Linked DNA regions of Drosophila melanogaster. Each later gene encodes a partner of the first gene's protein in a complex. Each region holds a gene or a part of one and is shown in the gene's direction. Other genes may lie near its edges.

What was found. The genes of interacting proteins can lie anywhere in the genome.
Region 2: Nup44A (region 1) and Nprl2 share a complex: the UniProt entries of both Drosophila melanogaster proteins name them as parts of the GATOR complex.

What each region holds. Positions count from the first base shown.
Region 1 is NT_033778.4:7,984,403-7,992,882, forward strand, and holds Nup44A (nucleoporin at 44A), read left to right. Parts: upstream 1-4,059; 5' UTR 4,060-4,107; intron 4,108-4,129; exon of another isoform or gene 4,130-4,225; intron 4,226-5,113; exon of another isoform or gene 5,114-5,312; intron 5,313-5,429; 5' UTR 5,430-5,550; coding exon 5,551-5,661; intron 5,662-5,722; coding exon 5,723-6,160; intron 6,161-6,256; coding exon 6,257-6,465; intron 6,466-6,525; coding exon 6,526-6,832; 3' UTR 6,833-6,881; downstream 6,882-8,480. Other genes in the region: ACC (Acetyl-CoA carboxylase), read right to left, coding at 479-600, 664-1,049, 1,200-1,359. UniProt on the Drosophila melanogaster protein: Probable component of the nuclear pore complex (NPC). Involved in maintaining the localization of another nucleoporin Mgtor to the nuclear envelope of early meiotic female germline cells.
Region 2 is NC_004354.4:16,880,719-16,888,323, reverse strand, and holds Nprl2 (nitrogen permease regulator-like 2), read left to right. Parts: upstream 1-3,958; 5' UTR 3,959-4,083; coding exon 4,084-4,260; intron 4,261-4,322; coding exon 4,323-4,829; intron 4,830-4,917; coding exon 4,918-5,472; 3' UTR 5,473-5,640; coding exon of another isoform or gene 5,641-5,714; 3' UTR 5,715-5,805; downstream 5,806-7,605. Other genes in the region: CG4880 (uncharacterized protein), read right to left, coding at 90-701, 914-1,357; DENR (density regulated protein), read left to right, coding at 1,887-2,006, 2,096-2,357, 2,523-2,710; Polr3I (RNA polymerase III subunit I), read right to left, coding at 2,808-3,248, 3,308-3,460, 3,524-3,638, 3,716-3,723; CG4872 (uncharacterized protein), read right to left, coding at 5,641-5,714, 5,806-6,003, 6,074-6,869. UniProt on the Drosophila melanogaster protein: An essential component of the GATOR subcomplex GATOR1 which functions as an inhibitor of the amino acid-sensing branch of the TORC1 signaling pathway.

The sequences.
Region 1 (8,480 bases):
ACACTCAGCGCAAATGTGGGCGCCATTGGGGATGGATTGCATATCTTGAGCTATAAACGCTTCAATTCTCAAGTGTCTAAATGAAAGAATAGCTTTAATTGAAGTGGATGGGTTGCCAGATTCAAAAAGTCCTAATCTGCAAGCATTATGAAGATAAGATTGGGAGGAAATGCTGAACTGAATCAATTAAACTAGATTAAGCGCTATTTGTTATTGGATTTCTAATTTAAATCAAAGAAAACATGATGATATACAATAGCTTGCTTAGCCTATCATAATCATATGAATAACAAACTAGATTATTAAAAGTCCTCATATATATCCTTATGCTATCTTCAATGTATTTAATTCTAAGTATAAAGACCGCAATCTCATTTAAGAAATTTCTGTCTAATAAATGGCTTTCTATCCACAACCATAATGTACTTCTGATGTTTTCTGTCCCATTTTCATTTGGGCTAAACCCAAATCGACTTACCTTAACCGCTTGCGCCGCTCGGAAATATCGCCATTCTGGCGGACATCGTTCTGCATCTTCAGGGGGAACTCGTCACATGCCTCGCCCGCCTCGGCGGCCCGCTCGTCGATCTCATCACCCACCTGTGGAAGGGAAACGGTGGCTGAGTGATGGTGCCAAGAGATGGGAAATATGATGAATCGTACCAAAAAGCTGGGCCGCTCGCCCTCGGCGGATTGGGCGGCCGTGTCATTGGACTCATTTGTTTCGCTCATCTTGCTGATGCTGATGCTGATGTCGATGCTGTTGTTGTTCTGGTTCTTGTTGATGCTGCTGTTGTTGTTGTTCTGGTGGCAGGCAATGCGAATGTTGTCGTTGCTCAGATTGCTGAGTGCGCTATCCTTCAGCTGGTCGCACAGCTCATCCACGTCGGACCGGAGGCTCTCGCTGGAGAACTGGACCTTCTTGATGCACGCCTTGGGGAATCGCTTGTCACTCGCTTTTACCGCCGAAGGAGGTGCTGCTGGAGCAATAGGAGGCTTGCTGCTGGTGGTTGTTGCCGTTGCTGTAGCTGCAATCACGCTGGAGTTGTCTGTAAGCAGAGATAAGGAAAACAAGGTACGCGTGAGTCGTGGTCAAAAGTCGTATACACATAATGAACTAATTAAACTGGGTTATCAGCTAGGTGTGCGATTTGTGTGCCCTTCAAGTGTTTCGGTTTAGCAAAGTGGGGGATTCTTACGATTGGTGTTGCCGTTGTCGCTGTCGCCAGTTGTTGCTGTCGTGGCGGATGTTGCTGCAGACGATTGGACGGGTTTGGATCTTTTCTGGCCGCGGCCAAAGATCAATGTCAAGAGGAATGCGAGAAAAGCAGCCAGAGTGCCTAATATCGTGATCAACATCGGCTAAATCCAAAAAGCTGCTTTAAATCGGTGAATGCAAATCGGATTAGATAATCTGCTATCTGGTGGCCAGCTAGCTGGGTTAGTTTACAGTGTGTAGATAGTGAAAGTGCCTGTGCATCATCTTGTTTCGGATACTTTTCAAGTTCAAAAACCTTGCCACGATATTGTAGGCCAAAGCGGCGAAACAAAACAAAATGAAAATGCTAATCAATGCATTAACTAGTTTGCGAGATACAATTAAGAAACCGAAAAAACAACCATATGAGACCCAAAAATAAATCGTTGCCAGGTCAATGAGGCAGCTGATAAGAGATGTGGTCAACGAATAAGGTATACTCTACGGGAAATTCAAACTAATCTACAGATCAAGCGGGTGACTTCAAAAGTATGCAATAAGTATTTCAAAGTACGTTGTAAAGGCGCAAGTGAATATTATGTTTAGCAACTACGTAATTAGTGACAGGTGTCGAATTACGATTTAATCAACACTATTACACCTGCATATATCACTTGAAAAGTTTCAATCTAAGTACATATCAAAGTTTTCAATATACTATACGAAAATACAGGAGCTCAAGCTGTTTCCGGGTCAAAGATGGCTTCACTACTAAATAATCTACTTTAGATACCCTTTGGCAGGGCGATAAAACTTAAAAACACGAAAATTAATTTCGGATATGAGGTTCAATGTGCAGCGCATTTAAAATTAAAACAAAACGGCGAAGAGCGCGAAGGGAAAATTGAAGAAACTTAAGCTGACAGAAACAAAACCCCCCCAGTTGGTTGGTTGGTGTGAGGAAATGCAAATCGGTGTGGTATGGCCAGCAGAAGAGGTCAATGATTTTGGCATTACAGTATACATGTGTGCACGTGTGTAAGTGTGCCAGCCAGGCGGCGGGCATTGAAAGACACGGAAAGTCGGATTGGACACCGGAATCGATCTCTGGCAACCAGCGGGGTGTTATGTAACCGCTTACTCGGAAATCGCGCAGAGAACTGGGACTTGGGTTACACTCTGCGCTGGAAACGACTCAACAGGTGTGGCCCGGTCCCGTACTCAAGTAGCTCCGTTAGTGCGCACCCTCGCAATGGATGGAGTCTTTTAATTGTGCTTTATTTACCACCGATCCTGTGATAAGAACTCTGCTGGCATTACTCAACAGTCGAAAACAAAAGAATCTTACTCGACGTGCGATTATCTCTAGGGCAGCACTTTTCGGGACCTTGGCTGGATATGATACGGTTGTGTTTTGGGTTTAGTTCGTCTTAGGATTTAGATCTACGGTTTCAGCTCGCTTTACCACTCTGCGTGTGCCCTTGTTTAGCTTGTGATGGCAGTTTCGAAGACGAGGTCGGACCGGATCGGATCGGATTGTAGTAGACCGTGTAGGATCGGTTTGAACTTCCTAGACTGACTGGTTCCGCACGATTTCTAGATGGCTACTGCAGTGACCGACGATTGGAACTCAACTGGGCCATGCTCGTCCGAAAAGCACTATCGATGCCTGAACGCCGCTTCTCCGAACGCGCAGCGGACGCCGACTTCGGCGTCGCCACTATCAATATCAACTATAGCTATAGCTTTGACTACGTCTACGGCCAGGTTTTCGTGCGCGGACCTGTGTTTGTGCGTGTTCAGGTTGTTGCGCTCGTATGTTAATCGCCAGCGGGTCTCGCGGGTCGCCAAGCCAATTGTTGTTGTTGTTGTTGTGTTATTGTTTTGCTTATTGCTGGCTCAGCCAGCGCCAAGTGACCAGGAGGAATATATGTGCACTATGTACTACATAAGAACTACATATGTACAAGGAGCGCCACTAATTCGAACAGAAAGGCGGTCGAATTAAGCGGGGCAACCTGCCGGATTAATAACAATTTTTATGAAGGTGGCTCAAGTAATGACGACCAGTGTGCTCCGTCGGTTTCAGTGATCTTTTTGTGAACCAATTATGCCATAACAATGTCCGAATAAATAAATGCTGGGTACAGTGGCACCAGAGAAATATTTAACAAAATCATTTCTTTATTGTCGTCAGTGATGAATAAGGTTTCTGTATATACCGATTCAACAAGTTCTGGAATAACTACAATGACATTTTGTTTTATATTGGATTTTTTGCGTAGTTTCCAAACTAAAAACTCATAAAAACTAACCATAAAAGCATGCCCTTCCAGCGGCAATCGCAATCAGCTTAACATCAGTGAGTTCCACTATAGGAAAGTTCCACTGTTGCACAGCAATTATACCTTAACGGTCTGCGGCTGATAAAAGATAAGAGCGACATGATGATGGCGATCAGCTGTTGCCAACAACCGTCTACCCCTCTCTGTCACTAGCAGTGCGTCCCGCTCTTTTCTCTTCCATGTATCTCTGTCTCATGGGCGGCGGTAGCTTTTCAATGTCAAGGTCGCCGATGGCATTCGGTACTGCTGTTGTTGTTGTTGCTGCTCCAGCTGGACTTAATCTGGGAGTTGACCCAACCGCTGACGGAAATGCACTCTGCTGCTGGGAGCAGCAAGCAGCAACAACAACGACCATAATTTCTCAATTTGCTGGCGTAAGTGGCAAGCGATGCTGATTAGGGTTAAATGGGCGAAAACGCCAGAAATTGATTAGCGCGATGCACTTGAATCGAATTATTATTAACGAATTCAGTGCGCTGCCACGAGCAGAACACGCGAACGCCGCTGATTTGTTTTCATTCCGTGATGCTCGCTGCTCCCGGCATCAGCAGAGGTTTTTTAAAAGTCATAAAAGAAATTCCCGACGCGACGCCCGCTTTAATCTCAGATAGGCGGCGAGTGCCTGAAAAATCTTCCGATTTCGGCATTGGCCTTGGCGACCGATTATGATTAATACTTAACGGTGACGGGTCTTCATGGTTTCGGCTCGGGCTCAATTCCAAATCTTTCCCGGCATCTTATCGCACGGAAATTTTTGTATTTCGGTGTTCGATTCTGTTCGAATTATTCATGTTTGGCGCGTGGCCAGAAAAAAACCGTCTACTGATATCACAGCCAAATAATAATAGAACCGAAAGTCGGTCGCGTGTGAAACGCCTGATTTCGATGTGCTTATCTCTAGGATTTCTACAGAGCAACAAACAACCGATTTGTGCGTGATAACACACTTGAAATCTTGTAGACACTGTAAAGTGCACGGTTTACAGTTAAATTGTTTTTTAATTTCTTAGCAAAATACTACGAATTTGTAGTGACTGCGTTGGATTGAATTTCCGATTCGAGTCCTTGTGATATGCTCATATTTCATAAATATACTTATATCGTATTTATGCAATACAATACCAACAAGAAATGCAGTCTCCAATTTAGTTCTTATTAGGTAATTGATGCCGGCCGACATACACACACGTTGGCAGCTATGCTGCTCTCTCGCCCATACACACACACACACATACGTCACGGGCATCGCGCGATGTGTAAAATCCAATAGGAATCAAGGTCAGCAGCGAGTGCGCGAGCGAGAGAGGGCGAGCAAGGCAAGACATATTGAGCATATTGCAGATGGAAGCAATTGGAATTTATGCTGCCCATTGCACTTTGATTGAAATCCGCACTTTAGCCAGCGAATTCAAATGCTAAACAAACGCGGGTCCCGATCTACATACGACTATGCTGTGGGGTTGTTCACCCCACTCATTTGCATACACATATGCGCATACATTTCGCTCGGATCGTATCGTATAGGATCGGGCCGTAATTACCCGTTTAGTGCTTAGATTACCGCACTTACTCTTCTCCATCGCACTGCGCTTCGCACGTTTCTTTCGGTTGGCAATTTTGTTGTGTGTAACTGTTCTTTTCCGGGTGCAAAACGGCCTCTTGGCGGCTATTGGAGTCCTGACTCTCCGACTAGTGTGGTTCTCGCGAATCCCGGATGGGCGTGTGGCACGGCTGATACGTTATCAGCTTGTGATCGACTAGAGTACTGTGTTTTGTTATTTTTCGCTCGATTTTTTATTCGTATTTCACGCGTAATTCGGACCACTAACTCGGTGTGACCGTTCGCCTGGGCGTACTGAAAAAATACTGAGCAAGGTAAACAACAGCTGTTCGGCGGCTGTTTGCAAGCCAACCCTGTCTCTCCTTGTAGGGCTGCATTACCGGCGCAGATTTTTCGGCGCGTGCATTTTATAAACAACATTTCGGTAAATAAGTTGAGTTTTTATCATGTTCGACGTGGAACCCATTATTGCCGACCACAAGGATGTGATACACGACGTGGTCTTCGACTACTACGGCCGCAGGATGGCAACCTGTTCCAGCGATCAGACCGTCAAGGTGAGGACTCGAATTATTCCTACGATAAACAGCCTAGGTGATCCGGATTTTCTGCTTGCAGATTTGGGACGAGGATGGGCAGGGCAAGTGGAATGTCACGAGCAGCTGGAAAGCGCACTCCGGCTCCATTTGGCGCGTTTCCTGGGCGCACCCGGAATTTGGCCAGGTTGTGGCCACATGCTCATTTGATCGCACCGCCTCCGTTTGGGAGGAGGTGATTGGCGAAAAGGTATCCTCCACCAATACCCCCACTCGCCGCTGGGTGCGCCGCACCACCCTTGTAGACTCGCGGACCAGTGTCACGGATGTGGAGTTTGCACCCAAGTACCTGGGACTCCTGCTGGCCACCGCCTCCGCCGACGGCATTATTCGCATCTATGAGGCCCCGGACATTATGAACCTCTCGCAGTGGCCCGTGCAGCACGAGATTAGCAACAAATTGCCGCTGAGCTGTTTGTCCTGGAACACTTCCACTTACATGGTCACCCAGCTGCTGGCGGTGAGTATATTTAAATTCCAAGTCTTAGTCTATTAAGGATTAATTCTATTATCTGTGGAGTAAGAATAAGCCTAATTTTCATAAATTATTTTGCAGGCGGGCAGCGACGAGGCAGCCACGCCTACTGGCAAGGTCTTCTTATTCGCCTACAGCGAGAATTCCCGAAAGTGCGTTAAAATCGATACTGTCAATGATATAACCGATCCGGTCACGGATGTGGCCTTTGCTCCAAATGCCGGACGCACCTTTCACATGCTGGCAGTGGCCAGCAAGGATCTTTATATTGTGAACTTGCGGGGTGTAACGTAAGATCGACAATTTAAAGACCCAAAATCATTTAATAATAATAATTTTTATAATTAAAGGGACGCCACGGACATCTCCAAGTTGGACATCCAGACCATTAAGTTTAGCGAGCACAATTGCCCAGTGTGGCGCGTCTGTTGGAATATGCTGGCCACGATGCTGATCTCCACGGGCGACGACGGTTGTGTGCGTCTGTGGCGAATGAACTACAACCGGCAGTGGCGCTGTGCCGCCGTCTTGAAGGCAGAGGGCAGCGGACCCACCTACGAGCCTGCTCCGCCCACTCCGACACTGGCCACTACCGCCTCGGCCACGGCCAAGTTCTACAAAAAGGGCACCATCGGCAACCAGGTGCCGTGGCACTGATCTTGTTCTTAATTGTAAGAGTTCCGAATAAATTCCTAAGTTAAACCTCAGCCGCTTGCCTTTCAATATGAGTGGTTTTCTTTAGTTATGTTTAGAGTTCACGGTATTAATGTTAATGTTATTAATGAAGTGAACTATCAATGGGTTTACGCATTATTCAATCGTTTTAAAGATTCCGTGGAACGATAATTTTCTAGAAAAATATTTTTGATTAAACTTTATCTTGGTGCCACCATGAACCAAACTTATATCACTGTGCGGAATAGTCCACGTAGTGTTCGTCGCGCACCAGAAGACACAACGAATCTTAGTAGTCCCGAATCATGAATCAATAAATCTACTCGGTTATTGTCGGATTGTACGTTTTGCTATAAAGTTGGAATCGCATCATTTGCGTAATTCGTGGATACTTCCCATACGAAATGGGTCTAAACGAATATTCGGAAGGCCTGTGTGTTTTGATACCACCACTTACATCTCGGATTAGAAGCCGGCATTCTTGCGAATCCAATGAATAGCTTTCTGGTCCACATTTCCCCAGTTCAGTGTTCCTCAGATCGCTTTTCCTAGGGCATTTTCGCGTTACATCACAAAACGTGGAGCTCTCAATGCTCCAAAGTGCCAGAAACTAATAAAAAAACAATGGGATGTTACTTCAACTTCTGCCTGCCGGCTGGCAAACTAGAGCAACTATTGATTTTGGACAACTTCCCGAAAGGCGAAGAATCAAAACAGAATTAAAGTTCACACAACGAGAAAGAGCGAGCACTAGAGATAGTGACTATAATGGCAAGCACTCTCCATACGGTCACATGTGTGTGTTTGAGGGAGAGCGGCAGATCTGATGTGCTAGCTATTTTAAAAAACCCCATGGCACAGGCCAAATCCGAGATAGATCCATCCCATTCGAGTGGGTCGGGACCAGCAGAGGTGAGGAGGAAAAGGCATTTTCGGGTTCAGTGGTTGCATTCAAATCGATTTTATTGAGATTTATTTATGGGCTATGTATTCTCGATTAACTCCTCACACGGGAGTACATAAATGGATCATAAATCCCTTTCAAGTGCACTTCCATTTACATTCCATCCACATGTGCATAAATTAACTAGGACGCCGACAAGTGCCCAAAAACAGGGTTTTTATTATGTTTAACACGGAAAAGCATTCAGAAATGTCGCGAAATATTCCACTTAATTGACTCGAACCGCAATAAAAACGAAATCATCGCACTTTCGATGACACCACAAAACTATAATAATAATAATGATATGCAACCACCCCTCCGCGGGCTTCGTCCTTGCGATCCTGTTGCTCTGCTGGTAATCCAAAGAATGAAATCCGTCCGACCAGCTCGATGGCTTTTGTAGTCACCGATGAAACCACCCCGGTTCGGTATCACAAGTTCCCTGTCCCAGATCCGAATGATTGTCTCTAATTGGAAGTTTTGACGTGTGTATTACGTCGAAGGCGATGGTGTTGACGCCGATCTCTGGGCCAGGACGAACCACCCCTGTCTGGGGCATATTGTAATCGCTGGTGGGTGGTGGTTGCGCTGCTCGCCGCGTGGGAAGTCAAAGCTCAGGGGTCTCTCACATGGTCGCGAACGTGGTAGGTCGCCCGAATCACTTATATGTGTTTAACCGGCAAA
Region 2 (7,605 bases), on another chromosome or scaffold:
ATGCTAGCCTAATAGTTTTTGCCAACCTGCTTTTAAATTTATCACGACTGGTTTGCAGAATTGTCTAAAACGTAAACTTTAAAAACCTACTAAAAGGAACCTACTGGAAGGACTTGGTCAGTATCCTGGGAGTCTGCGATTATTGGTTTGCCGTAGAGCAGGACCTTGGCCAAAATCGACTTGCAGCCAGAAGCGCTAGCATCGATACTTTTGATTATCTCTTCTACGTGCTCGTCTTCCAGGTGCACCATTGCGATGGCGGCTTCCCTGCGGATGCAGTCGACCAGATGGGTGGGATCCAGAGTCGCAAAGGTGACCAACTGGGTGTGTGGCATATTTCTAAGGATCTCCATATCCATCTCAAACTCCTCGCCGGGCTGCATGCTATTCACATTAAAGATAAACACAATGGTCAACCGCTTCTGTTGCGGATGCTCAGTGTGGTTGGCGCTCTTTTCGCCCTCACTTATCATTTCGTTAATGATAGGCACGAAGTGTGCATCCTTCGGCGTCATGTTATCAATCAAGATCATATTCTGTCCGCAATATGTCAGGCCGGATAGCATGCTCTTCACTCGGCCCAAAGAAGAACTGCCGGTCCAGGAGAGTGTATTCACGTTCTCGGGCCAGGGAAACGTTTCGCGCAAGATTCGCGCAGTGTGGCTCTTGCCTACGCCAGAGGTGCCCACCAAGACGATTGCCTGTTTGGAAGGAGATCCGGGATATTAATACACAAAATATTGGCAATTCATTAAGTTTACTAAAGATCATCTAGTTGTTTGTTGCAATAACCAGGATAAATCTGGATGAGCATATACAACAACTGGTAGTACAATCAATAGTAAACTATACTAAGTGATATGGAAAATCCGCTTAGGATGCACATTAAATCTACTGTTTCCCCGCTAGTCACCTCATTGGTGGTGTTGTCCAGTGCCAGTTCTAGCTGGTTCAATGCAAGATCCTGGTTGAGTACCTGGTGGCGGGCGTGCAGGACCATGTCGCCCAGCCGTCGGGAGGGATTGCAGTAGTTGTCCTGGTTGTGGACGATCGAGTGGTACTGGTTTTTGTAGCTTTCCAGGAATCCGCTGACCGTGGACAACTTGTCGGTGAACTGCAATAACATGCCAATTCCTGCGGCGAGGGCGAGAATGAGGTATGCCCAATTCCGCCATGGAGCCTTCTTCTGGGTACAATGGGCAATGTCCAAATGGTGTTTGCACACCTTTTTATTCAACCGCCTGTTGGACTGCAGGCGGCGAATCTCAGTCCTCCTCTTTCTGGCGAATGGCCGGCTTATCGGGGCGACCACATTTTCATTCTTTTCGTTCTGTATTAGAGTATTGTATGTGACCATTTTATTAAGCCTTGTTTCGTTAGCAACTGGATATTTTTGGCTGACTTGTGCTCGAATACAATTATCAGCCTACTGTGATACAATTTGGTAAAAACTTTGGTTGCATGTTACAAACCGGCAAATTATTCTAAATGCCGCTTCCTTCATGCAGTATTTCACGAGTGTTGTTTTGATAGGCAAACATATTTTGGTATTTTACTATCGAAACATTCTTCTGTTCTGCCAATAAATACAATTTTAATAAGTATTTTGTAATACAATACAAGGTATAAATTAAAATAGTTTCAATCAATGTAAAATTAATGAAAATACGTAAATTTTAATTTTAGCTTATTGATAGTCGGAATTGTACTACGATTTAAATAAAGGTATATTTTAGGTAGGTATTTATTTAACATGTGTCAATGTTAGTATATTTTACGAGCCTAAACAAAAACGGTCAGTTTGCAGTAGCCGACTTCTTAAAACTGTCATTATTTTAATATTTCAATAACCCGGAGCAAATCCCAGGCAGTTAATCCGATCCGCAATGACGAACGAAGATGTGGGCACCAACAGCGTCGCCGACCGCCTACAGTTGGGTCCGCGCGAAGGCGTCACCTATCCGATCCAGATGAAGTACTGTGGCCACTGCACGATGCCCATTGAGGTGAGTTCGTCTTCAAACCTGGGAAAAATCCATATTAGGGATCATATATGGCCCATATATTTACATATATATATATCCACTATACGCAGTACTGCGAGTACTATCCGGAGTACGAGAAGTGCAAGGAGTGGCTGGAGCTCCACATGCCCGATGACTTCGAGCGACTAAAGATTGAGGAGGAGGCTGCCGCCGCTGACGGGACGGATGACGACAAGAAGCGCCAGAAACGCGGTGGCAAGGGACTGTTGCGCGTCAAGAAGAAAGAGGACGTGCCCAAGCGTATCTGCGTCTCGCGGGCGGCACGTGGCAAAAAGAAGTCAGTGACCGTGGTCACAGGATTGAGCACTTTTGGTAGGTTCTGTTCGCACATTATGAGTATAGAGTAGGAAATGGAGGGGGATGCGGGCCCACTGGATGCTATGAGTAGCCATTACCATACCATGTAACTTAGATATATTAGATATACTTATGAGCTTTATTGTTAACTAAGCATAATACATTCCCTGTCTGTTCCAGATATTGATCTCAAGGTGGCCGCCAAGTTCTTTGGCACGAAATTTGCCTGCGGCTCCTCGGTTACCGGAGACGACGAGATCGTCATTCAGGGTGACGTCAAGGATGACTTGTTCGATGTCATACCCGAAAAATGGGCCGAGATCGATGAGGACGTCATCGAGGATTTGGGCGATCAGAAGCGAACATAAATAATTTACCTTTTTTTTTAGCTTATTTTATACGCTCCATCAACATAAATATATGAAACGTTAAACGTAATAAGCGGATGGGTTATTTTGGCGGCTGCTACCCGAGGTTTTCTCCATCTGGTGTCGGATTGGACTTGGTTTCCATTGAAGTGGGTGCATCCGTTGCAGGCGCTGTAGTGGCTTCATTTGCTGGAGTAGCATTATTTTCTGAAGACGATGTTTCCACTGGGCTTGCTTCTTCTGCTGGAGTAGTAGTAGTGGCTTCACTTGAAGGAGTAGCGACATTCGCAGGAGTAACTCCATCACCTGGCGTGGTTTTGTCCGCTGGAGCTATTTGTTCCGCTGGATTGGATTTTGCCTGGGCATTACGCTTTACGCCAGATTGCTTGCCGGCCTTCGCAGTGGACTCCGCAGGCTTTTCCGCCGGTGTTTCCTTAGCAGCGCCTTTGGTTTCTCCACCATGGAAGTGTTTGTAGCTCAGCTGAATGATTTTCTCGTTCTCCTCATCGGTTAGTGGAGCTTTATTGTCGTCGATGAGCTGGGGAGGTTATTATATACTTAATTAGCCTTTCTGGCATATGATAGACTAATCCTTACCAGTTGCGTGTGTAGTGCACTTGTAGGCGGATCGTTGATCATTTGCAGGATCTCTTGGGACTTTAGACGATAAGAAGACAGGTCTTTAACGTAATTCATAATGTTCTCACGAGTTTGTGTCTTGCAGGGCGACTCCTCCAGATACTGCAGTGCCTGTGGAACAAAGTGTTTGGTTAATTTATCATATATTAGTTAAATATTTAAAAAAATCGACACCTCATAGGTAACCGTGGCCAAGTTGCGCATGCCGAACTTCTTTTTGGTGCTTTTGATCTTCTGTAGAATCTGCATTACCTCCAGATTGGTGAGGTACGAGAACGTGGGATTGATCCTGAAATGGAAGCGTTATCATCTGCATATTATTCGCTGTTTAATGGAAAAACTAAATAAAAACAAAACAATCCTCACGTTTCCATTTCTGCAAATTTTAGTATGACCGCAGAGCGAGCGCTAAAATATACCCCACCTACGCATATTACAGTTGGCCTTTATATATTAACATAACAGATAATTTATACATGAATAAAACGATCTACTCAACAAATTAAATGGTGTTGAATTAATTTGTTGTTAAAATTTGTTATAATTGGTTTTTGCATTGGAGTATATTTGTTGCAGTAAGGCTATGGTCACACTAAAGCATCGCTTACCATAACATTACAGCGAATTCCGCCACTGTTATTGGATTGTGCCACCTGCTGTTAAAGCTTTGGAGTCCACTCCGCGGAAGGAAGCAGAGGATGTGGATGCGGTGATACTGGAATCTTTTGAACGGCATGCATTCCCATACGAATGAGACGGCTGCGACGTCGACAACGGCGGGCGCGGTCACGAATGGAGCAGGCGGATCAGGAGCTGGAGCAGCGGGTGCCCATGGCAGCACGGAGGGCAAGATCCGGTGCATCTTCCTCAGCGAGTTTCATGCGACGGCGGGCTGCAAGATAAGCTGCCAGGTGAGCTGGTTCCCAGGAGCGCTGATAACGCAGTATAGTTCGAACAAATCCACGTCCCTCAGGTTCCTGATAACTACATATCCAAGGATGTGTTCGATGCTATCAATGTTTACATCATACCCAAGCAGCATCTTCAACGCTGCATTCTCACCGTCAACGCAATGGATGTAAAGATAGTCGGCTATCCAGTGGGCATCCAGGATCAGCAGAAGTACGCACGGAATGCCTTCCTGTTTAACCTATGCTTTGTCTGCGACTCGCGGGCCAGGAGCGTCCAGTACGAGCCGGTCGTCAAGAAGCTGTCCGAGTACCTCATAATGATGGAGGAGGAGTCGTGCTTCCTGTCTCGCGAAGATGACAAGCGCCGCCTACAGAACATCTTTGAGACTGTACTACGCGACCTTAACGAGCGGAAGGTGGCCACCATTGTTGAGGGCGATAACACTATATACCTGAAGATCGTCATGCACAAGCCGGACCCGCCGCCGGTCAAGGATCACATGGTGCCCCTGCTGCTGGCGAACCTGCGCGATGCTCCGCTGGACAACTGGGACCTTACCACACAACAGGTGCGGACTATTCCTGATTCTATAGTTATACAATCTTCACGATGTAAATAATTTAGTAATCCCATTGGACTGTTATGGTTTCCTCTAGATCCTGCCTTATATAAATGGAATCAACCATGTTGCCCGCATTGCCGCCGAAGCGGACGTGGAAACGGACCTGGTCAAGTCGTGCATACAGAATCTGGTCTACTACGGGGTCGTTCAGCTGCTGCCAATCCTGAAGTACAGCAACGTGTACATGACGCAGAACCTAAAGCATCTCATCCAGAGCGCATCACTGAGCGGCGCATGCCGGAAATACGTGGCCTTGCGTCCGGACAAGACGCTGCCCAGTGTTCAGCGCATCTTTCAGTTCTACGCCTCGATGACTCACGGCGTTACTCTGCGAGCGATCTGCCAGAGATTGTGCCCCCAGCACCACAACATCGATGAGCGTCGCATGGTGATCTTCGGGCTGCAGCACCGATTCATTCGCTGCATCCACAAGTACCCGGTGTTTACGGGCTCAGTGCCTTCCGGGCGGCAGAAGATGTACACCGGGCTGATCAGCTTTGACGAGATCTGCTGCAAGACGGGCCTCTCGCCCTGCACCATCGAGCGGGATATCGAGAAGGACACGAATGTGACTGTGATCTGGAAGTGACGACCGGAAGGACTTCTCCGGCCAGTTGGGTTTGTTGTAGTTTGTAAGCGAACCGATTGTTATGTTTCCAAATGCTTTTTTATATACGCGCATATACACATTAAAGTTTAAGAATTCACTGGTTTGGCTTGGGCTGGTTCCGGAATCGCTTTGCCAGCTGGACAGCAATCAGGAATCCTTTGCGCTAGAGATAATGCAATCCTGAACCGCCTGGGCCACACAGGCGTCCTCCGAGGCCATGCCTTAAATAGGAAATGTATGAAATTTTTAATGATACAACTTTGAAACAGACAGAGATAGTCATATAGTTACACAAACTTAATAAAAACGCACCCATGGATTGAAAGATGCTGATTTCTAGCTCCTTGGGATAGTTTCCATCCAGAATGATCTGACCCACTTCAGCGGTGATCGGCGCAGGTAATCCCACCAATTCAGCCTCGGCATTGGCATAGCAATCCACGTAGACCTTGGCCTGCTGGTAAATCTTTGGAGCCACCTCCGAAAAGTGAACTTCGCCGGCTCCCACAGCTGAAATCGAAAGTTATAAAGGGTAGGTCATCATCATCCATCCAGCATTCCATTATAACAGCAGACCTACCGTTAATATGAACAGCCCGTTTGGATTTCAGATCTGCCAACTGGATAAGCGGCTCCTTGGAGTACGTGGCGATGCAGATGATATCGGCATCCTGGCAAGCTTCGTGAGGACTTGGACATACAGTAATCTGGGTTCCGCTCTCGGTGTTCAATTTCTGCCGCAGTTGGTCCGCTAAACCCAGTGCCTTTGCCTGCGTGCGATTGTAAAGATTAAGCTGCCTCACCCGGAAGTTCGCGCAGAAAGCGGCAGCATGGAGTTGTCCTTGAACTCCACAGCCCACGATGGCCACGTTGATATTCCTTTCCTGCTCCGCCTGCGCCCCAAAGCGCCTGAAGTACAGATACTTGGTGGCCACCAGTGAAGCGGATACAGTGCGCCAGGTGGTCAAGTCCGTGCCCTCCATTATGGCCGACAGTTGACCGGTTTGATTGTCGAACAGCAGCACATGGGCATGGATGCTGGGCAGCGGAGGATCCCGTCGGGGATTCCCACTGAACGAGGTCACCAACTTGCAGGCCAGTGTTGAGTGGGTGTGCTCCACTTCCCCAGGATCCCTTGACGATTCCAGCCTGTAGTTGCCCACATAGGCGGGCATGGTGAGCAGAACCTTGCCAGGTTCCTTGCCGCATGGAATAAAAGTCCTCTTCGGTTGAAAGGCAAAGGATGTGGAGGGCGTTTCCGGATTCTGCTTAACTATAGCTACAAGTGCAGATTCCACTGCCTTATTGACCAGCGGCCAGGTGAGAACCTGACGCACAGCATCCGCATTGTAGTAAGCTGGCGTAGAGCTGCTCATATTGGCAATGAAATGGTTTTAAAACAAAGTAATTCTTGCAAATTAAAATATTCTAATTATAATTGGAATGCAACTTAGTATCTTACTAACGATCAAAGAATGCACTGACCAGGGATGCCAGGTTTTAGGAATATTGTTGTGGAAATAACTATATTAAGCAATGTTTTAATTTCTGATAATATATATTAGAAATATATTAAGCTTAAATACTGTGACTGTACTCTATCAATTTTGAAAATTGGACTCATTGTACATTTTTGTCTTACAAAAGCTTATTTAGTTTGAAATCTTGGCAGCACTGTTGACTTAAACTTAAAAATTAACTAAAAAATACCGTTACTATCATTTAAACACCTATCGAAATCAACAGTCGATAACTTTGATGATGCAAAGCGTTGAAATTTTAAATTGAAAGATCAAGGTGATCATTATTTGATAATATTCAACGTATTGAAGAAAAAACAATGACGTTCGGTTTAAATCAGGAAAGACCATTATCTGAAGTGGGAAAAACCACCAACCGAAAACCAATTTTCACGGGCGACTGTTTTTCCTCATTTCTAATGCAGTTTTCCCCATTCTTCGGCATCGCTGGGAAAATGCATTTTCACCGCACGCCAAGGGCGAAACCGCAGCGCTCAAAAAGGGAAACCGCTTCTGTCAACGGCTTTATCGCCCCGAAACGATTCTCGCAAACAGCTGGAAACTGAACCACAGCCCACACAACCCGTCCACT